Linked DNA regions of Rhinolophus ferrumequinum. The main gene of each other region encodes a partner of the protein of the gene in region 2 in a complex. Links are inferred from orthologs where the notes say so. Each region holds a gene or a part of one and is shown on either strand. Other genes may lie near its edges.

Evidence for each region.
Region 1: the proteins of CTSK (region 2) and cystatin-C are in contact, whole or in part, in a crystal structure (PDB 8V57), measured with the Mus musculus proteins. The link is inferred for Rhinolophus ferrumequinum from reciprocal best matches to the Homo sapiens genes CTSK and CST3. Residues at the interface, in NP_031828.2 of Mus musculus: Asn132, Gln133, Gly134, Gln135, Cys136, Gly137, Cys139, Trp140, Glu173, Asn174, Tyr175, Cys177, Gly178, Gly179, Gly180, Tyr181, Met182, Ser248, Ala251, Ser252, Gln257, Phe258, Val274, Asn275, His276, Ala277, Ser297, Trp298, Ser301, Trp302; in NP_034106.2 of Mus musculus: Pro27, Arg28, Met29, Leu30, Gly31, Ala32, Pro33, Gln75, Leu76, Val77, Ala78, Val80, Asn81, Tyr122, Pro125, Trp126, Lys127, Thr133.

The regions. Positions count from the first base shown.
Region 1 is NC_046306.1:44,117,069-44,127,981, forward strand, and holds the start of cystatin-C, read right to left. Parts: upstream 4,076-10,913; 5' UTR 3,960-4,075; coding exon 3,714-3,959; intron 1,093-3,713; coding exon 979-1,092; intron 168-978; coding exon 84-167; 3' UTR 1-83. UniProt on the Homo sapiens protein: As an inhibitor of cysteine proteinases, this protein is thought to serve an important physiological role as a local regulator of this enzyme activity.
Region 2 is NC_046305.1:50,975,383-50,986,031, reverse strand, and holds the start of CTSK (cathepsin K), read left to right. Parts: upstream 1-6,250; 5' UTR 6,251-6,405; intron 6,406-7,910; 5' UTR 7,911-7,911; coding exon 7,912-8,034; intron 8,035-8,498; coding exon 8,499-8,621; intron 8,622-8,706; coding exon 8,707-8,862; intron 8,863-9,831; coding exon 9,832-10,050; intron 10,051-10,649. Other genes in the region: ARNT (aryl hydrocarbon receptor nuclear translocator), read left to right, coding at 200-347, 1,552-1,714, 2,130-2,299, 2,985-3,074. UniProt on the Homo sapiens protein: Thiol protease involved in osteoclastic bone resorption and may participate partially in the disorder of bone remodeling. Displays potent endoprotease activity against fibrinogen at acid pH. May play an important role in extracellular matrix degradation.

The DNA.
Region 1 (10,913 bases), on a different chromosome or scaffold from region 2:
CACCCATCTAAAGCTTAGGAACTCTACTGGGAGGGGGGTGCAAATGAGACGCAGTCAGTGTGGCCCAGCTTGTCATTTGTCTTCTATGCGTCCTGGCAGCTGGACTTCACCATGGAGATCTTGCTCAGCCAGGGAACGCTGTATATCTGGAAAGAGCAGAATGCTTTCTGCAGAGGGAACACAGAGGGACGGTCAGTTAGGGTTATAGCAGAAAAGGAAATCGTCCAACAGGAGATCTCAGACATGCAGGTGAAGAACTGTGGCTGTTGGCTGGGACTCTCAGCCCCTCCCCCGCCCAGCCCCAGACTACTAAACAGGACTCAACGGTGGCCTGCGGGTCACCCCTCCCATCACTCCAAGTACAGGAGGTGGCATGCCGCACACCCCTCCCCCACCGGATTCCACACTGCCTAACCCCAGCACAGCCATTTAAGCAGCAGCCCATGCAAGGCCACACAGCCAAGAGCTAGTTCTTCCACCTGCAGGGAGCCAGAACTAAGACAGGTCCAGAAGAACAGAGCCCGGTCCTGGAATCCGCCCCGAAAGTGGCAGGTATTTAGGCAGGTAACAAGAGGGCGGAGCTCTCCCCAGAGGCTAAGAGCTCCAAATAACCAGCCAAGCCCAGTGACAGGCTGCTGTTCTGTGAACAGGACAGCGTGGAAGGGTCTCTCCCCTTACAGGCCTCTCATTCCCTCTAATCTGTTCCAGTGGCTGAGGATGGGATTAAAGCGCCCTTTCTGCCCCACTGATTACTCCATCCAGCGGGCAACAATCCTGCCACATGGGGCCCCAAGGCCCCAGCTCAGACTGGCTTATAAATTCAAATTAGGCATCTGCACATCACTCACCATCCCCGCCACACCCCCCAACATTCACACATCCCCCCAAGCCAGAACACTCACTCATGACACGTCCAACCGACACACACCCACCGCTCTGCCCTGCATGCCTGGCCCCTCGCCCACCTCAGGCCCATACCTTCATCAGGCGTGGCTGGTCATGGAAGGGGCAGCTGGCCAAATTGGGCTGGGACTTGGTACACGTGGTTCGGCCGATCTCTACGTCCAAGAAGTAGTTCATCCCAGCCACGACCTACGCACAGGAAGAGTAGGTATGGTTTTCAGTACCTGCCCATGTGACACAGGCACAGTTACCTTCATGCTATTGCACTTCAGGCCAGCATCAATGGCTGCCAGAGCTGGCACCCAGGAGGTACCTGGCCCGTCCTGACTGCTGCCCAACCACTGTGCTCCAGGCCCTCCTTGTAACTTGTTGACAGTGCAGCTCTGACAAGGTGTGCCACACAGCCTCATGGGAAGACACGCAGGAAAATGGAAGGTGGAAGCCAGACACTAAAATTTTGTTAACTGGGCCCTGGAGCTGAAGGTGCATCTATGGAGAATCAGCCAGGGTGTCAGCTGTGCCAGCATCAGGATCCAAGTCAGAGACTAAGACAAAGTGACAGCTCTGCCTGAGTCAAGGCTGGATCCACCTCAGGAAAATTCACATGATAATGACCTTGAAGCTACAGTCCAGTTAGTAGAGTGGAGCCCATCGAGACGCCTATTTCATGTACCAGGTTTTACACACACACACACACACACACACACACACACACACACGGATTTTTGGGCCCATAAAAGATGGCTGTTAAGAACTGTTTGTAACGGGAACATTTCTGAAGTGTATCACACCTTATGATTACACACATTTGAGATGACAGAAGTGAAGCCTGTTCTCACATAGGCATCCTCCAGACACACCTCCTGAAAACTCAGATAACCTTGGGAAGAAGAGCCTAAGCTCTGCAGAGTGGACCCCAAGCAAGTCCTGTGATCCCTCTGGTGTCAGTTTTCCACATGGGCTGGTGACCTGTGCCACCAAGCTAGTGTCACACTGGAGGGGAGCAGGCTGGTGGGGACCTCGTGAGCAGGGCATGCATGTCCCATCCAAAGGGGATAGTGTCAGCCGACAGCTGCAGGAGAAATGGGTCTCCTGCATCAAAACAGATCTTGACCCACTGTCTGAAGTTTCAAGAGGCGGATAAGGGCCATGAACGCTGGCATGAAGCACCATACTTTGTTGCTATATGACTATGTTCTGCTCCCCACTGGGAGGCAGGCCAGCTGGTCTAAATTCTAGCCTTCCTTCAAGGACAAGCACAAGGCCCAGTAGCCCTTCCTAACGCTCCCTCCCTTCCTCTTCTGGACCCTGATGACTGCCCTCCTTTTCTGCCCAGAACCTCAGGACAGGCTGGTAGAGGCAGGGTCAGGTGTGGTCCTCTCTATCCCAGCAGGCACTTAACTGCCCCAGGTTGCTGGGGGTGGGGCACCCATTTCAGGGTGGGGAGTGAGACTTTACAGTCCAGAGCCTATTCCATGGGTATGACCTGCAGAATGAAGCAGCTCTAGGGGCCTGTCCTCCAAGATCTCTAGGCAGCTTTGGATTCTTATGTAAGACCCTCTGCTGTGGCATCTACCTGGATACCACAGGCCAGATTCTGGAAGCCTCTGTGTTTGCTGATATCCTCAGGGTGAGCAGGGGATCAATGAGGGCTCCGCCGCAGGGAGGATGTTTGGAGTGCCTGCTGGCCCAAAATATCATGGCAAATGGAGGACCTGGAGGTCGGTTTAGTGGCACCTGCTGAGAGGAGACTTGGAGAAGAACACACTTCTGCATGACTGGTATCTCATCCTGAAAAACTGCAGGCCAACCCAAACTGAGTGCCAATCTGCAGGGACTGGCTGGACCCTTCACAAATGCCAAGGTCACGAAACAGACACACAGGCTGCTCCAGGGTAAAAGAGGCTGCAGCACATGACTCTGGAGTGTCCTTGGCCATAAAGGACATTGGTGGGACAATCAGGGACATCTGAATAAGGTCTGTGCATTAGATAATTGTGTCAGTGTTGATTCCTGATTTTCAAACTGGTACTGTGATTACGTAAGAAATGCCCTTGTTTTTAGGAAAATATACTCTCAAAAGGTTCAGAGAAATAAATGCATATATGTACCCATGCACACGTGGGGAAGGAGGGAGGCAGATAAAGCAAACAGGGCAAAATTTTAACATTTGAGAGTGAAGGATCTATAGGGATTCTATGTGCTAATTTTGCAACTGCTCTGTAAGTCTCATATTATGCCAGAAGAAAACATAAAAAGGAAACTAGTGCTTAAAAAAAATCATTCAAATGGCAAAGCCAGGAAGGCAGCCAGGCTGCCTGTGAGGTCTGTTTTTCCTTTGCCTGTGGTCATTTAGTTGTGAGCTCACACTGAGCCCCCAGTCCTATGACGCTGGGGTCGGGACTAAGCGGGTTGGACAGGAGCCCTGACCCTAACCCAAGTCCTTCTTGTTGGGGCTGATGCTTTAAAACAGAAATGAAGGGCAGAGCACTAACCAGGAGTACCTGGGACCCACTGGCACTCCTAGTGACAAGTTTGCGAGGGGCTTGTCAGCAAACAGAGGAGTCCGGGATCTGGCATGGGCGACAGGAAAGACCTGGAAAAGTCTGACTGGCTCAGAAGCCTGGGCATGTGTGTCTTGGCCCATCTGCAGGGCCTCCAGGGGCTTGGAGGGTCATCCTTTAGCAAGGGGGACCGACAGGAGCGCGGCTGGTGACGTCAAGAAGGCCACGCCCTCCCGGGGCGCAGGATCCCGCATCCCGGTGGCCCTACCTGCCCAGCTGCCCCCGCACCCTACCCCTGGGACTCACCTGCTTTTGGGCGCGTACCACCCGCATGGCGCGGCTGTGGAAGGCGTCGTTGCTTGCCTTGTTGTACTCACTCAGGGCGAAGTTGAGAGCCTGCTGCACGCCCTCCTCGTTCACGTCCGCATCCAGCAGGCCGCCCACTCGGTGAAGCTTGCTGGGGCTCGCGCCGACCGTGGGGCTCATAGCCAGTGCTAGGGCCAGGGTCAGTGCAGCCAGCAGGAGCAGCGGGGTGCGCAGGGACCCGGCCATGGTTGGATTGGAGGAGACGCGAGCTAGGTCAGGAAGACAGAAGCCCAGGGGCACGATCGGAAGGCCGCGAGCACCAACCCCGGGCCTAGGCTTTTATTTCCCCGGGCCCGCCCTATTGCCCCGCCCCCCGGCTCCTCCTTTTCCGCCTCGTCCCATCCCCCTCACCTAGATCTGCGCTCCCCTTGGGCCCTCCGCCTTTCCAGTCCCGTGGTCCCGCTTCTCCTGCCAGGGCCTTTCCACTTCTCTAAGTTGCCCCTCCACCCAGCTCCTTCCTCTCAGTCCTGGCCCTCCGGCTAGAATCCCACCTCTCTCCACGCAGCGTTTCCCTCCCCTAAGCCCTGCCCCTTCCACTCAGTCCTGGCCTTCTTCCTACCCTGATCCATTCCAGCTGCTCCCCACCAGCCCCAGACTTCCTCTAGTGTGCTCCCAAGCCCAGCTCACCCTAGTTTCATAGGTGTCACCCCTCTGAAAGCCTTGTAACCCCTGAAGTCTAATCCCTTCTTTTACAAGGGAAAAATAGCTGTCTTGTCCTGTGAGCAGCTGGTCGAATTCTAGGGGTCGCCAGAGTAGGCATAGGACTTCAAAGGCTGGGGAAGACCCCGTCAGTACTTTGTACTGGGGAATGTCTTTGCCAAAAATAAGTGAATTGATTACCTTCTATTTGGTAAAAAATTCAGGTTCTCTTTTTCACAATTCATTTATTTTTTCAACCAACAAAGCTTTCTTGGGCTTCTCCCTGGCCAGGAAGTATAGAATCAGTATGTAGGTGACAAGTGGGCAAGTGATCCCTGGACTTGGCATTGTAGAGGGGCTGCCATATAGAGACGAAATGCGAACCCATGTGTAACTTTCCATTTTCTAGTAGACACATTGAGGAAAGTAAAAAGAAACATGTGACAGTAGATTTCAGATTTTTTATTTGATATATTAACCTAAAAAAAAAATCAAGGTGAGAGGCAACAAGTATTGATTTGTGCTCCAAAAGAATAGCTATTCTAGAAGCACTGTTTTAGGCAGAAACCTCAAATAGTGTTCCTATTAGACAGTAAAGGCAAGAGGTATTTATGATAAAAGGAAGGGGAGTTATTTGACTAGAAGGAAGAAATTTCTATGGGTGTTAATAAGCTAAGAAAGGAATTTCTACAGATGCAGATAAGCTAATATAGTGATGCTTATTCTAAAGACTGTCTTTGATTTTCAGTTCTAGTCATAACCTCTGCTTCCCTGTTTCTTGTTTGTTTTTTGCAAACAGAAATTGGTTCAGATATTTTTATTACAGTCAAATGATAAGTTTAACTTATGTTAATATATGGAAAAATTAAATGTATTAGAAGAAAAATAATTTTAAATTACAATGCTAGGTTGACATTTAGTAAAAATGTGAAGTAGGAATAAAGCAATTGCAATTGTACTACAGTATATATGATAACACTCTTATTAACGTCTAATGTATATTTGATAGAGATCTATGTCTAGATAAAAAATTATTCTGTTTTTAAATTTTTTTTGAAGACAGAAAAGTCATCAGGAAAATTACTTATCAATTATTATCATATAGTTATCTATTGACTATCCTTATCAGCATGGCACTGTGGTAGTATACACATAAATGAAATCTTAGCCCAAGGGAATTCACATTGTGAGGTATGAAGGTTAAGTCTTATTTACAGTGACAATAACACAAGTTTTTGTTTTTGTTTTCAATTTTATACCATTTGAAATCACAATTTAACAGTAAAATGAGGGGGAGACAGTCTGATTGGATACGGTCTTTAAAACAACTTAGTTATGCTCGTTCTAGGTAGCCCTAAATAAGACTTGAATTTACCTTTGTGCTCCCCTGTTTTGATCCCAAAAAAGAAAATACCTGCCAAGAAGGATTCCTTGTGGTTAATTGGGCCCAATTCAAAACTGGAGTCTAGCAGCCATTGTGGCAGAAGCCTCTTATACACGCTGTATATCAAATGAAAGCTACAGGCTGAGCTGTCAGCCTGTGCACTGTGCTTCTACATTATGAATCAACCCTTATAATAGAGCACCTGGGATTGGAATTCAACCAATAGATCTGAGACTTTCCCTGTCCAATCAAGCTGGGCAGCTATACCCTTATTTGTATCTTTACTAACTGATCTGAGTTGCTCCATTCTGACCAATCAGGTCAGTGCTATTTGGATCAATCAAACTGTGATGTTTGGAGCCCTTATTTGCCTGGCAATGGACCAATCAGGGACTGGTGGCAGGCATTCTTCTTCGTATAAGCCACCTGCACCTCTGTCTTGTTGGAGCACACAATTGAGTATCCGTGTAAGAGTGTGTTTCCCCAGCTGGAGCTGCAACAACAGAGCAGAACTGTGACAATGGAGCCTTAGCACCGAGGCTGCCTCACCTTGGCTACCTCTCCTGAGTTGTTTCACCACCCTGCTGCTCCTCAGCTATGCTATATCACAATTGAGCTGTTTTCACTGAATAAAGTCTCTCTCCCATCACCGCACCCCAAATTGAGGACTCCTGTTGGCATTCAATTGGCATCGATGACCTTTGGTTGGCACCTGTTAACTTTGCAAACAGTTGGCTCGAATACAGTGCTGCTATAGGCATAGTCCAAAGATTATTTTGCCCAGTATTAACAGTCCACAGGTTTGAGGGGTAAGACCTTCAAGGTAGCTCCTCTGGGATGGCAGCTTTGACACCATTTTGAAGTGACTCAGTTTGTATAATATTTTCAAACCCAGTATATCTAAAATATTATTTAAACATGTATAAGCAACTGTTAATAGTTATTTTACTTTCTTCTGTGTCCGCTAACTCTATGGAATCCTGTATGTGTATTCTACACTTAGAGCAGTTGTCAATTCAGACGGTCCTCATTTTAAGTTCTCCATGGCCAAGTGTGGCGGGTGGCTGTGGTATTGCACAGCCCAGTTTTAGGATGTTTCTATGTGTATGTGTGTGGGGGTGCAGGGCAGTGATCAATAATTAAGATAGGGATTTTGTTGGAGGTAAAATAGAAGTGGTGAAAGAGAAAGATGGGTGTCACTGGTCATAGGTGAGGGAGGCTTGTTTGAGAAGACACCTATAAGCTGACATGTAAAGGACAAGAAGTTCTGCCGAGACCAGGGAAAGAGAGCTTCAGGTAGAGAGAACAGCCAGTGCAAAGGCCCTGAGATGGGGCTGGGATCACCTTTCTAGGAACAGAAAGCCACTGGAGGGTATTTAAGCAGGGAAGGGATATGACCCGGAATCTCAACCAGCAGCTGTGTGGACAATAAACTGTTGATGGGGGCCGGGGGAGAAGGTGCAGAGAGACCCATTCCAGGACGCTGCAGAGGGTAGGTGGGAGGGACACAGTGAAGGGAGCAGGCAGCGGACGGAATGTATGCCAAAGCACATGGGCTGCTCTTGCTTCTCCCCTCGGGGAGCCACATTACTGGCTCTGGTGCTGAGTCCATCGCTTGGAAAACATTCTCCATGTTTAAAAAAAAAAATCACCTAGAATGAGGTATAATGTACATAAACTAAAACACTCCATTTTAGGTGTCTAGACTGAAGAATTTTGGTAGATGTGTACACGAGTATCACCACTCCATCAAGGTCTAGAACATTTCCATTACCCCGGAAAGCTGCCTCATGCTTCTGTAGTCAGTCCCATGCCCACCTCTGGCTCTTGGCAATGCACACACCTGTCCCTGTCAATTTGGAGTTTTGCCTATTTTTGTACTTTCTGTAAATGGAATCACATGGTGTTAGCACATGTGTGTCTGGCTGCTTTCAATCAGCATCATTTTTGAGCTGTCCTTTAACTGTTTGTTCTCTTTCTCCCTGGTCTGAGACAACATGGTCAGCCAGGTGCCACGTGGGCTAACAGAGTCCTTAGCTCAGGACTGTGCAGGCCTGGGCTCAAATACTGCCCTGGGAGTGGAGAGGGAGAAAGGCCATTCTGAACAGACAGTTGGCTGCCTTTCTTCTCGAATCCCCACCCTCCACACCTGAAGGTGACCCTGTGGCAAATGACCTATGGTGAAAGTGATAGGTTTTGTCAGAAACACCAGGAGGCCTCCAGACCCTTGAAGCACACTCAGAAGGACTCTCTTAGGAGCAGTGGAAGCAATGGTCAGTCAGCATCAGCCCAGACCCACTGTGGTCCTAGGGCAGGAGCATCAGGAATAGAGGATGCCAGAGCAATATCAATGATGGACATTCATGTTCAGTGTTAGGGTATGAGAGCCTGTTTCTTGATGCATAGTTACAGATGTAGGGGTGTAATTAAAAATTTTCCTTCCTTCCCTTCTAGGTTCTTTGGCTGGTCCAATGATTAATTTGACGTAGACAGATTAACAGGAGAAAAGCAAATTTACTTTTGTACATGTAGGAGCCCTATAAAAATATGAGACTCAAAGGCAATTGAGGCTTCCATGCCATCCTGAGCTAAAGAACGGGAGAGGGGCCTGGGGCTTCAAAGGGGAAGAGGGCAACTCACAGAAAGATGGAAAGAGCAGATTTTGCTAATCAGAGGTTTGCCCTGCCACACAGAGAGATTCTGGTGCAGGCCCCTAACCAAATTCTATTAGGCAATTAGGGAAGAAGTAAGTTTTTCCTTAGCCTGCTGGGTCTTGGGGTGGTGTATCTGCTCCCCTTCACCCCTGACTCCACTGTGAGTTGGGAGCCTCTAGAAAGGTTGTAGTGCCCCACTATATGCAGCAGGGATGCACTGGCAGTGTGGTGAGGGAGAGGAGGTCTTCAATGCTTTCTTACTGAAATAGAAAAGAAGGGGAGATAAACACAGAAGGGAAAGGGAGGGTTGCCCCTGGCCAGATACTTCTGATCAGAGTGATTATCTCCAAAGGGTGGAAATTGGTTCTCATGTGGTTTCCCCACCCATGCTGAGTAAATGGGGCTCCAGTCTGAGGAAGGTAAGTTGTGCAGAGGATAAGCTGAGATATAAGGGATCCTTCCTTCTTGTGTCATTAGAAAGGAGGTACAGAGCACCCAAGTCACTGGAGCATGGTGGTAGCTGTGTGTTGGGGGGTGGCTTGAATTGTGACACTGCTGCTGTATTTTGATTATACTACCTATCATGATCCTCCATTGGGATGCTGGCACGTACTCATGGAGATGAAGTTGTCCTGATAAAATAACTAAAGTAATCCCAATATAGGGTGTCCATGGGAGCTACCAGAGCAAACTGCAGTACGGTCTATTAAGTTCAAGGCTAGGATGAGGCTGACATCTGCTCTGACCTTGGAGGAATGTAACAAATCTGGAGAGGTGAGCTATTTTGTTAACTGTAGTATCTGGGGTTCGGAATGGACAGAAATGAGCAAGCCCCAGTGGTGATGTGTAAACTCGGTTTAAAATGTTGGAATGGCCCACACCCCAATCTGTAGCCTAGAGCTTCATGGATCAGCTAGCAGAGACCAGAGAGAAACAGTGAACTCAGGATTGAGTCATGGGGCCTCCGGCACCCATGCACCATGGAGGATGGAGCACATCTGCCCAGGAGATGAGCGTGTTTCCTTCTGTCACATGAAGAGAAGACCATGTTCCCACAAGGCTGTGTATGTGACTTGTGAACTCATGATCTGAGTTAGTAGAGCGGGACGTTAGGTGGGAGGGTGACAGACGTTCTCTGTGATAAACAAATAATACTATATTTTAAGTGATACAATAATAAGTAAATGATCAAGCACATAAAACTTCACCTAAAGGGGCAAGTGGTCACATCAACTTGACCAACGGTTGAGATTCTGAACATTTGGACTTTGAGCAATTAAAACTTGGTGTCCACAATAAAAGCTTAGACTGAGCAAGTCATGGGTTTTAGTGGCATATTAACATGGAAGGACTGGGAGCCTCTCTTATGAGATAAATAGGATTTTCAGAGGTCAAGCTCCGAAGTCCATATACACACCCCTCCTCCATCTCCCTCTGCCCACCGCTCAACCCAGGGAGACAAGGGGATGCTTCTACACAATGTGCCAACATTGGCAAAACAATATGGATTGATGCCATAACATTATGAAATTGTGATACTCACTGGAAAGCCTGTCAACAGCCCTTGTAGAAAGAGGCAAGACAGAGCACAGTGGCTGTGGGGACAGAACCTCAGAGAGCAGTTTACCGGGATGATTTTCGGGGAACCTATGTGCTCTCACTATGGCCTATTATGGGGTCCCCTGTTCTCTTATATGTTGAAACTATACAAGGGACCCCAAGCACTGCCATAAAGGCCTGGTACCACAAACCGGGAAAGGTGCCAGTGGCAGTGACCCTCCTTTCCCAGGACAAAAAGCTATCGTGTATCCTCCCAGATGGAAGGGATTTGCCATTGTTGGTTCCTAAGACTACTGTTTCTTTCCGTCCATAGGTGCCTGTAGACTAAAATGGCACAGGAACCCTCACGGAAGATGCTTGTCACGTACATTGTGAGGTGAGACCCTGTAGGGTGGAGTGTGGGGACAGAGTCCCAGAGAGCAGTTCCCAGGCTCTCGGCCTCACATAGAAAGGTGCTGGCTCGGGTAGTAGATGGTCATCAGCTGTGACTAGTTGGCCATTGGTTGTTACCGGTTAGCCATCAGCCACTGATATAACTCGCGTGGCTAAACTAGCAAGGTGGTGGTGTAGTGGTGTGGCATGGTGGTGTGGCGGCGTGGCGTGGCGTGGCATGGCAGAGTGTGGATTACGGATTGCAGAGAGGCAGATTGCAGCTAGCAAGTGACATTGGTTGGCAGAGACAAGTGGACAGTGGGTTGCAGATCGGGTGGCTCCTGCTTCCTGTGTCTCCAACCCAGCCGCCAGTGAGACTATAGTGGTATGACTTCCCTACCTATGACTCCACAGGTGTTCCTTTTTGGCCTCACCATATCCTGCATTCCTATGTGGGGAGCGGGACCAGAGACCCCGCCTGTCACCCTGCATGACACACGGCGCAGCGAGCAGGGTATGGTGCTGGCCAAA
Region 2 (10,649 bases):
TCCAGGTTCCATCTCTGTGTGTCCCAATGAGTGTGTGACTGTCAGTCTTCCTCGTTTTCTCCAAATTCTGCTATCAAGTTTTCCTGAACCCCCGGGAAGTCAAGGGAACCTAAGGAGAGTGCTAGATTGGCCTGTGTTCCTAGAGTCTGTGATAAACGCGTCCTTTTAATCCTTTACCTTACTGTTTGTTCACTCCTAGAAATAGTGCTCTGGCACCTCCTGTAACCATCGTCCAGCCACCAGCCTCTGCAGGGCAGATGTTGGCCCAGATTTCCCGCCACTCCAACCCCACCCAGGGAGCAGCCCCAACGTGGACCCCTAGCACCCGCCCAGGCTTCTCTGCCCAGGTAAAGTTTCTCATCTCTCTCTCGCCTGTGTATTGTTTTTTGTTTGATTGGTTGGACTTTTTTCCGTATGTGAAGTTATTCTTGTCTATCTTAGGCACCTTCTCCTCAGCCTCGACTGCCTGCTTTCCAGTTTTTTCTTTGTGGGGAGCAACTAGATAAAAATCTCAAAGTCTATGGTCTTCACATGTTCACTTCAAATTAGATTGCTCACACAGAACATCTAGAACAGGTTCAATTTTCAGATTTGTTTTGGAGTAAATTTAAAGAAGTTTCCACTTTTGTTAGGACTACAAAATACAGGAACAAAAGAAAATTAATTAGGAATTTATGCATAGTAGTGTCTGTTTACAAAATATATATGTGTTGAAAAGTCCTTATAATATATATGTGTATATGTGTATATAATGTTAAGCCTAACACTAATATTCTTTCATATATTTATATATATTTATGTTAGTAATATATAATAGATGTAACACATATAATACATATAACTATAGTATGTATTATGTATTATATACATAGTAATAATATAAATGTAAATAGTTAAATAGGAATATTTTTAATAAAAAAGCCGAAACCAAAAGTAGGCTCCAGAATTACATGGAAAATAATCTCAATTGTATATAAAAAAAAATGCACAAGAAAATAAAAACTGGAGAAATTATCCAAAAATTTTAACTGTGGGTCTTTGGTGGTAGAATTATGAGTGATTTTTTTCTTTTTCTTTTCCTTCACTTTCCAAATAGTCTGGAATACACATGCATTAGTATTATGGTGAGAAAAATGGTTAGTTACCCCAAAAAGCATCATTAGGAACAAATGGGTGTGATATAGACTGAAGAACAAAATGTTGCAAAGTGTTTTTTCTCCATATGTGATACTATACTGTTATTCATGCCTCCAGTTTCTATATAACTTTACAATTTATAAAATGCTTTTATTTAAATCATTTTCTTTCAGTTCTCACACAACTCTAAATGTATACTTTTATTAATACCATAGTTCTTTTTGTACTTGATCACAACTGAAAAATAGTGTCCAGAGAGATTGGGAGTTAATTGGCAGAAATATGCAGTAGGGAGGGGGTGGGGAGCTGGCTCAGGAACCCAGTGATTGACAGGGGGCGCGACTCTCCTAGGAGAGGCACGTGCAGTCGTGTTAACGTTCCATGTGTTCTTCTCTGTTCCTTTCTCTCTTCTAGCAGGTGGCCACGCAGGCTACAGCCAAGAACCGCTCTTCCCAGTTTGGTGTGGGCAGCTTTCAGACTCCGTCCTCCTTTAGCCCCATATCCCTCCCCGGTGCTCCCACCGCGTCACCTGGCGCTGCTGCTTACCCTGGTCTCACCAGTCGTGGGTCCAGCTTTGGTGAGTTCAGACCAGAAGGAGGTAACAAGAAAATCACATCCCTAAAGAGAAAGAGTTTGGTAGTTTAATACAACAGTTTGCTTGTGTCCTGGATGCACTGAGCTAATTGTGGAGAAATGCAAGATGACAGTCCATCTGGAATTTAAAACCTAGCCACATGAAAATGACTTTCACACGTATAACAAAAAGCATGGAGGTATACAAATTTCATAATAGGTGAATTTAATCTAACATGAGCAAAGAACTCTTTGGAAAGGCCACCTAGAGAAGAAAAATTAGCTTAGGCTGGGTTTTAAAAGAGGCATTGACTGGCAGAGAGAAGGGAGGACGGTTCCAGGTGAAATGAATCACTTGCATGTTATGTCTAGGTTTTCCTCTCCACTGGAGTTAGACTGAAGTTTCTTCCTCCTCATAGCTCCTGAGCAGCCTGGGCAGACCGCAGGACAGTTCCAGACACGGACAGCAGAGGGGGTGGGAGTCTGGCCACAGTGGCAGGGCCAGCAGCCTCACCATCGGTCCAGCTCTAATGAACAACACGTTCAACAGCCGTCAACACAGCAACCCGGCCAGCCTGAGGTCTTCCAGGTGAGAGGATGAGAAGAGCTCCGAAAATCAGGAACTGGGAGAGAAAGGGTCAGGGAGGAGAGACAGAGAGGAAGCATGCATGGAGCGGGCGTGACTGGGGTGTGGGGGAAGCCGGAGTGGGAACAGTGGCAGAAATGTCATTAATTGGAAAGACTGTGAACTTAGTGTGATGCACAGCCTCTAACGAGACCACTTGCGAAGACATGGAATTAGTTTTAGCCCATTCCCACTGTACAGTAGCTTGTGTATAATAAACGTACTGATTCTAAAGGTCCATTTACATACATCCTGAGGGGACTGCAAGACTGAATGGAATAATCTTAGCACAAAGGAAGAGATAGTTTAAAGCACAGGTTGAAAGATGGCAAAATGAGTTTTGGTAGAAAACAAATAGGATGAAAGATACTCCGTAAGTACCTCTAGGGGGTTACATGAAATGTGGCAGGCAGATTTTTCTCCTTTTGAAAGTACTGAGGACTAGAAAAGGGGGAAAATGTGGGACTGTAGGAGGAAGGCAGAAGGGACTAGGAGAAAAGGTTGTCATCGCCAGGAGTCAGACTCGCCGGGAGGAAAGAGGGCTGAGCAGGAGCTCTGGGCCAGGGATGGGGGCGCAGGCATGTGGGGAGGAGCTCGGCACACGGAAGGGATCCCGGGGTGTGACCCAGACTTGCTCTTCTCTTTTCAGGAGATGCTGTCCATGCTGGGAGACCAGGGCAGCAGCTACAACAGCGAGGAGTTTCCTGATCTCACTATGTTTCCCTCCTTCTCAGAATAGAACTATTGGGGTGAGGATAAGGGGTGGGGGAAAAAAGTCACCGTTTGTTTTTCAAAAGCAACTCTTTTTGTAAACAAAATAAAAGTTCCTCTCCCTTCCCTTCCCTCACCCCTAAGGTGTACCCCCTTTCACTTCTGGCCTTCCCCTTTCCGTCCCGCCTCTCTGAGAGACTTTGTAGATGACATGGGGTTGAATCCTCTAGACTTGGGGGACCCTCTGAGAAACTGAGGCTGGGTGAGGTTAGGAATGCCTTGCCTAGGTCTCATGACCAGGGATCTGTGCAGAAATGATTGTGCTAAGGTCAAGGGCAGGTTCGAGAACTTGACGTCCACCGTTTGCCTTGGATTCTATGGTTCGTTTTTGGAAAGAAATTCTGACTAAGGTGGGGAAAAGGAGAACTGTCCTCGTATGTGAGGACATGAAACGTGGTAGGTGTATGTGGGGCTTTAGGACGGGAGCAAATTTTCTTTCTGCTGCTTGTGAGCAATTACTCTGGAAAGAAACTGAATGAGGAAGCAAGAGAGGAGAGAAAGTGTGTCTGTGTGTGGTGTGTGTGTGTGTGTCTGTGTGTGTGTCTTTCTCCCTATTAGGGAGTTATGCAAAATTTGTCCCAGATTTTATCTTTGTTTTTCTCTGTTTTTTCAAAGAGTCCTAAGGAGTTAAATCTTCCAGGTATTTTCCACTTAGTATTGCAGCCAAAGAGTATTTCAATAAATGATTTTGCTGCACTTCCATCGATATCCAGCCAATATGCAACTGTAAGCAGATATGTAAAGTCTTCTGTTGATCTGTTTGGTCTCATCAAGCATATTTAGTGATAAAGCTGGGTCATTCCCGCTTTTGGTGCTCTCGCCTTATATGGAAGATCTGCAAACTACGGAAATAGGCTGGCAAGAGAAACATTTTCAGAAATCCCCTACTTGGTCATAAGGATAATGCTGCATATTTCTGTCAGAATCACCTGTGGGTGTTCTGTGGAGGTTATTTCTGCATGGAAACTCAACTTCTTGGATTAGCTGGCCCAGTGAAAACACTGCTGGAGTTTATACCAAATACCAAGCCTTGCAAAGTGGCCTCTTCATCCCATTCTCAGAGTATCCAGTCTGGCAAGAAATTGAGACTTAGGTCTCTTCTGGGCCTGTAGTTCTTTCCTCTTTGCTCCCTCTCCAGTCTTGATATTGGATGTGCTTGATGGCGCAAGTGTCATAAACCATGTGCTAGATGGGGCCTGGCCGCCCATCCCGACAGGGTCACTTAGTCACTAACTACAGCCATATCAGTGGGGGCACAGCTTCCTACTGTCACCCGTCGTCCTCAGGTAACAGTCATGTGTATCAGCCTTTTTTTCTTCATTGGCTCAGGCCAGTATCTTCAATGCAGGACTGAATTAATAAGGAGAAGACATTAAATGTAGCCATAGTGGACTAAGGAGCACGGGTGGCCTGCAGAGGCTGAGATGTCACTACGGGCTTTCCCTCCCTTTGTCTCCAGTCTGGTGCCAGGCCGTGGAGTGGGAAAGGAGACAGTTTATTTTTTTATTCTATGTGCACACATACAGTATACATATATATTTATATCACAGTGTAAGAAACCAAAAAGTTGAGTTTCCAATGAAATCCTTGTTTTTTTAATAATCACCTGTTTTTAAATGTGATCCGGACTATAATATTGTACAGTTATTACAGGGCTTCTGGAGCGGGGAGGGAGAAGATGCTCTGGGGGGCTTTTTTTCTGCTTTTCCTTCAGGGTTTTATTTTTGATTGTTTTGTTTTGTTCCTGTTGGCCTTTGTACAGTGGCAAAAATAATGACATGTAGCAAGTATTGTAAAACAAAATATTTTTTCCTTTTGTAAGCTTTGTGTTGTGTCATCTTGATTGCGACTTTATTATTCCTTTCCAGCTCATAAACAACAAACACCCACAACTAGTTGAATCCATAGCCTGAGCTCCAAATATATAAACATAAAACACAGTGTGTCTATAATTTCAGGAATCAGGCATCACAGGGCTCACTCAGCATTCCTTGGTTGTCCTCCTGACCCTGACTCATTCTGAGTAAAATCAGTCGGGACATCTGACCATGGGGTGGGGGTGGGGATTACCTGAATCCTTGGGAGAGCGGAGGAGAATTGGGATTTGAGATCAGCAGTGGCCATCTGGATTCCTTCCTCCAGGAGGTCCTCCTCTCTGGCTGAAAAGGAATTAGGGACGGGGAAATCGACACTGTTCAGGTCCGGACCTGGCAATCCTCTGGGACCATATAGTTCATCAGCACACCTTCAAACCCAGAGGCAGAGAACTGCGTTCTTGAGGAATACGTGTGTAATCCTGCCAGAAACTGAATCCAGAGCCCATGTATTCCTGCTCCAAGGACCCTCTTTTCCTCTTGCCCCACATCTGGTTATGGAAGAAAATGGAGTTTGGGGGTGTGGTTTGGGGACTGAGCTAGACTCATGATCTGTCACATGCCTGGGTGTTGGGGGAAGTATGTGGGAAGTATGTGGAGAAGCTCAGATGACCTGGGCTGGGGGTTTTAGTAACAGCCAGGCACTCTTCATCAGGCATCCCACCACCTGAGAGCTTAGTAAGGGATGTCACGTGTGAGCTTGTCAGTGCTTATGCCATTGATTCATGTGCTGTCAGAAATTCCCAGGAATACTGCTTTGGGTTACTTTTAGAACCGGTTTCATCTGGACCTTCTGGGCACATGCTTCCTCAGCAAAACCATGTTTGGCTGGGAGAGCTAATACCCTCCATGAAGCAGCAACGACTTAGCCAACAAGCTTATAAAATACAGATGCTTTTGGAACCTCTGACTTCCCTTACGACTCTTTCCTAGCCTTCTGTGTTTATTCCCTCTCCTCTGGTGGGAACGTCAGAGACAAATACAAAACAAGTTTCAAAGAGACGGTGATGGAAAGATCAGGAAAACATGTGATCCCCCAATATAATTAATAAAGAAGGATGGGGGAGACCAGAAGTGTGTCCCTCTAGCTACTAAAGAGAAGATAATCCCCAACTTAAGTAATGTAATTTGGGGGATTTTTTTTTTTTTACTATTTTTTGGTCTGCCCTCAGAAAGAGGCAATGTGAAACTGAAAAAAAAGCAACCCTCCATGCAGAAACATGCAAATCCACTACCTCCTCCTCTCCCCCGTGCCCCCTTCTCAGCATTTCTACCCTCCCTTCTTTCCCATCCAATTTTTCCGACCAACAGCTGGAGCTGACTTCCGCAATTCCAATGGAATAAATCCAGCACCCCTAGTCATCCGCTCACATTATCCACAGTTCCCTGCAGAAACGAGCCCAGAGAACAGATCCCAGCCAGCAGGTAACGTTTTTTCGACTTCCTAGTACATTTAGCTTTTCGTTCCTGCCAATTCTGCATCGTAGAAGTGTTAGGGGTGTAGTGACTTGGGGTTCAAAAGGCTGCGTGGATGAAAATGATGCCCTTAGGTCATTTCCTGGCCGTATACAATCTGCCTGGAAATTTTTAGGATTTCTTCTAAAGCATTTGTGATTTGTATGTATACGTGGTTACTAGTGAAAGCCAAGAGTACAGGGGATCCTTTACCCATCCTTCAAAGGGGGACCTCTTTGTGGGGTTTTCTGTTTTGGCCAAAGGTACGAAAAGGGTTAACTTGTGGTGGGGGGAGGTGGAGTGGTGCAGGGAGACGGTAGCTCAGTACTTCCTAATCTGTGACGTCTCAAAGCCCCTAACAATCCAAATAGTAAATGTCCTGCTGGTTATTTGCCAGTTTGCAAAGAGCACACAAAAATGGACTATAAATTCAAAAGTTATGCAAGACTATAAATTGTTCTTAAAATGGAGGGCACATAAGTAAGCCACTGCAAGAAGTGAGCGACGCTAGACCAAACTTCTATAAAGCTGTGTATTTAATGGTCATAGAACGTTGCTTTTCTGTCTTATGTTCTTTTAACAAACTTTGGTTCTGAGGCTTTTTGGCCTGGGAGGCGGTCACAGAGATTTTTTGTTGTCAGAGAAAAAAAAACCACCAAAAACCTTCCCACAGCAGCTGGTCGAGATTAGGACAGTTTCCTGCCTGAGGAGGGAACCAGAAGAGAAAGAAGAACTGCTAAGAATGTTGAGGAAACAGGAAATCCATTCTCTCAGTTAGAAAATAGGAAATATGGTCAACTTTGCCCTTGTCGACTCCTGCTAAGCTCTGGAAAAGTGAAAGAATTTAGCCACTGAAGAGAAGAATGCCTGACAGAAGTGGTCAGGGTGCAGAACTTAGCTGGAAATCTCTCCTCTGTGTGTTCTCCAACCTCCTTCATCCCCCTTGCACTTACCTTGTCCGTCTCTTCCAAGGCTGCTGGGGGCACCGAGACAAATGCTGAGCCCATGCTGATGGTCCATTTTCTACCCTGTTTCTAGTTGTCTGTGGAAGTTGTGTGTGTGTGTGTGTGTGTGTGTGTGTGTGTGCGTGCGTGCACGCACGCGCGAGTGCCCTGAGTCTCCCTAGGTCAAATGACTAGGAACCAGGTATATCAGCACCCCATCCAATCCCAGACCCCTCCTGACCACCACTGTTCTCTGTCTACCTTCCTCATAAAGCCTCATACAGCAGAGGAAGGGGTTCTGCACTTCAGGTTCTGGAACTCCCCAGAATGACTGTGTGTGCATGCATTTTTCTGGTGAGAGGGTTTATAGTGGGTTGCAAAACTATTAGCTTCTCAGAGGAGTCTATGGCTCCCAAAGGTGAAGAACCACCTGTCTGGGACTATGTCTCCAGGTAGCTATCTCCTCATCCTAAGCCAGGCTAGGAACTCCTTGGCAAATAGAAGAGTCTCCTCTAATTGTCCTCTTCCCAGGATGTGGGGGCTCAAGGTTCTTCTGCTGCTGCCCCTGGCGAGCTTTGCTCTAACCCCCGAGGAGATACTGGACACGCAATGGGAGCTGTGGAAGAAGACCTACAGGAGGCAGTATAATAGCAAGGTGCCGAGGACCCGGAGGGGAGCACTGAGGGGGGGAACCCTGAGACCTCCAGGCTCCCTGCTTCTGTCCAAATACTTTCACCACCCCAGCCAAGCAACCCTGCCCCCGTCCCCTAACTGTTAACATGTGGTTTTCATTCCTACGCCTCGACTTACCCTCCATCAAGTCCTATCCTTCCTTTTTGTTACAACTGCCTTCTCTCTTTCCTTTGGGACGATTTCTCAGATGAATGCTGATAATCCATAAGCAACTTTTCTATCCATCTCTCCAGAGCTTTGCATTCAATTATTTGTTCATGTTTCTTTTTGCACGCTCTTAATAATCCCGTGGTCATTTGCCCAACTAGACGGTAAACTCTATCCCTGGAACTTGAATCTTTTCTCCTAAAAACCTCCACAGTATTACATCATGTGACTTTGTATACCGCACGCAGTGTAGGCCAGTACTGACTGTGGTCTCTTTAGGTGGATGAAACCTCTCGGCGTTTAATTTGGGAAAAAAACCTGAAGCACATTTCCATCCATAACCTTGAGGCCTCCCTTGGCGTCCATAGCTATGAACTGGCCATGAACCACTTGGGGGACATGGTGAGTTGAGCCTCCACACCTGGCTTACCTGCCCTGTTGGCCTCAGGTCGCTGCTTAGGCCTGGCCTCTTTCTTCTTTGTCCCAGACCAGTGAAGAGGTGGTTCAGCAGATGACTGGACTCAAAGTACCCCCATCTCGTTCCCGCAGTAACGACACCCTCTACATCCCAGACTGGGAAGGCAAAGTCCCAGCTTCGATCGATTATCGAAAGAAGGGATACGTCACTCCCGTCAAAAACCAGGTACCCTCCAGTCTCCTGGGTGTGGGTAGGTAAACTGGCACGGTCTCTTCCTTCGCTGCTGCTTTGTTCTTAAGGTACGGGGGCCCCAGGAAGAGGGGGCAAGGAATGACGGTACCTCTCCCCATGCTAAGAGAATATAGCCTATTCCATTATTTACGTAACTCATCTCCAGCTTTGTACATGTAGGTTGTTTATGCATTTTCTTTTTTACAAATAGTGGTGCTATAAGCACCTTTGTGCAAAGGTACAAATATTTATGCAAAATAAATCCCCAAATTAAAATCGCTAGGTCACAGAGCCTCCTTTCCAAAAAAGGTTTTACACTCTGACATTCTTACCAGCATGAGAATGCCAGTTTTCCCATGGCCTTCACAACGTTGATTGTATCAACCAGATGAACTACTGATTTAACACTCATTCAACAAAAACTGTTTCCCCCCCCCCCAGAATCTACCAGGTGTAGTGCTAGCCAGTAGAGATTCAAGACAACAAGTCATAATCTGTGTCTTCAAGAACTCTTCAATCTTAAAAAATAGAACAGGAAAGAAAAATCTATACTCTAGCTGAACAAACCCTAATAATAGCTTGCACTTTTTAAGAGATTATTATGTGTCAGAAATTTATAAATCCTTGACATGAATTAATTTTTTAATCCCATTAAGTATATTATTATCCACATTTTACAGGTAAGGAAACTGAGGCACAGAGAGGTATAGTAACTTACCCAAGGCCACATGGGTAAGGAAGGGGTTGCAAAGGCAGTATTCTCTGCTTCACTACAGTGAATGGTAACAACAGTAGTAATCGTTACCAGCGCAAGGACAATGCAACAAATGTTAAATGAAGAACAACCAAGGGGACGTGTGTGCTGGAGTTTCGAAACTGTCTGGAACTTCATCACCCAGGTAGAGGGAAGAAACAAAAAGTGGCACCTGCAGTGACTGACAGTTTCTCTGTTCCGCCTCTCAGGGTCAGTGTGGCTCCTGCTGGGCGTTTAGCTCTGTGGGTGCCCTGGAGGGCCAGCTCAAGAAGAAAACTGGCGAACTCTTAAATCTGAGTCCCCAGAACCTGGTGGATTGTGTGTCTGAGAATGATGGCTGCGGAGGGGGCTACATGACCAACGCCTTCCAGTACGTGCAAAAGAACCGGGGCATCGACTCTGAAGATGCCTACCCGTATGTGGGACAGGTGAGACTGTCCCCACACTTACACAGCTCTGTCATGGCTCCTCCTTCCCCTCCTGTTATGCACTGGAGACAATTCTAGAAATCGCGTTTGCTATTAACTTATCCTACTTTCTCCATGGGATAAGTGCCCACAGAAGGCCAGGAAGGTTCCCACAGTCTGGAGGAGCTTAGGCTGCCAGAGGCGATCTGCTTCTCTGCCCTGGAGAGAAAACAGAGGACAGGTTATTCCACAGATCTCTGAGCAGGTTTCTGGAAGCCTCAGCTCCTCCGTTCCCATCCCAAATCCCAAACCCACCATGCTAACTTCATGAATCTTACTGCGGATCTGGAGCTCACTGAAGCAAATTGTCTAAGTTAACATGCAAACATATACAAAAGGAGAGAGAAACAAGTTGCTTCATATTTGTTGTAATTTTAGAGATCAACTCACTTCCTCCTATAAGATCATTTAGCAACAGGAAGGAGGTCTGTCTTACCCAAAAGAATGAAGATCTGAGGGCTTTTTACTGTACCTGGGGCTGACAGATAATATAATAGGGGGCCTTTGTAGCAGGCATCTTTGAAACAGGAACAGCAAGTTTTAGTAATAAGAATGATGGC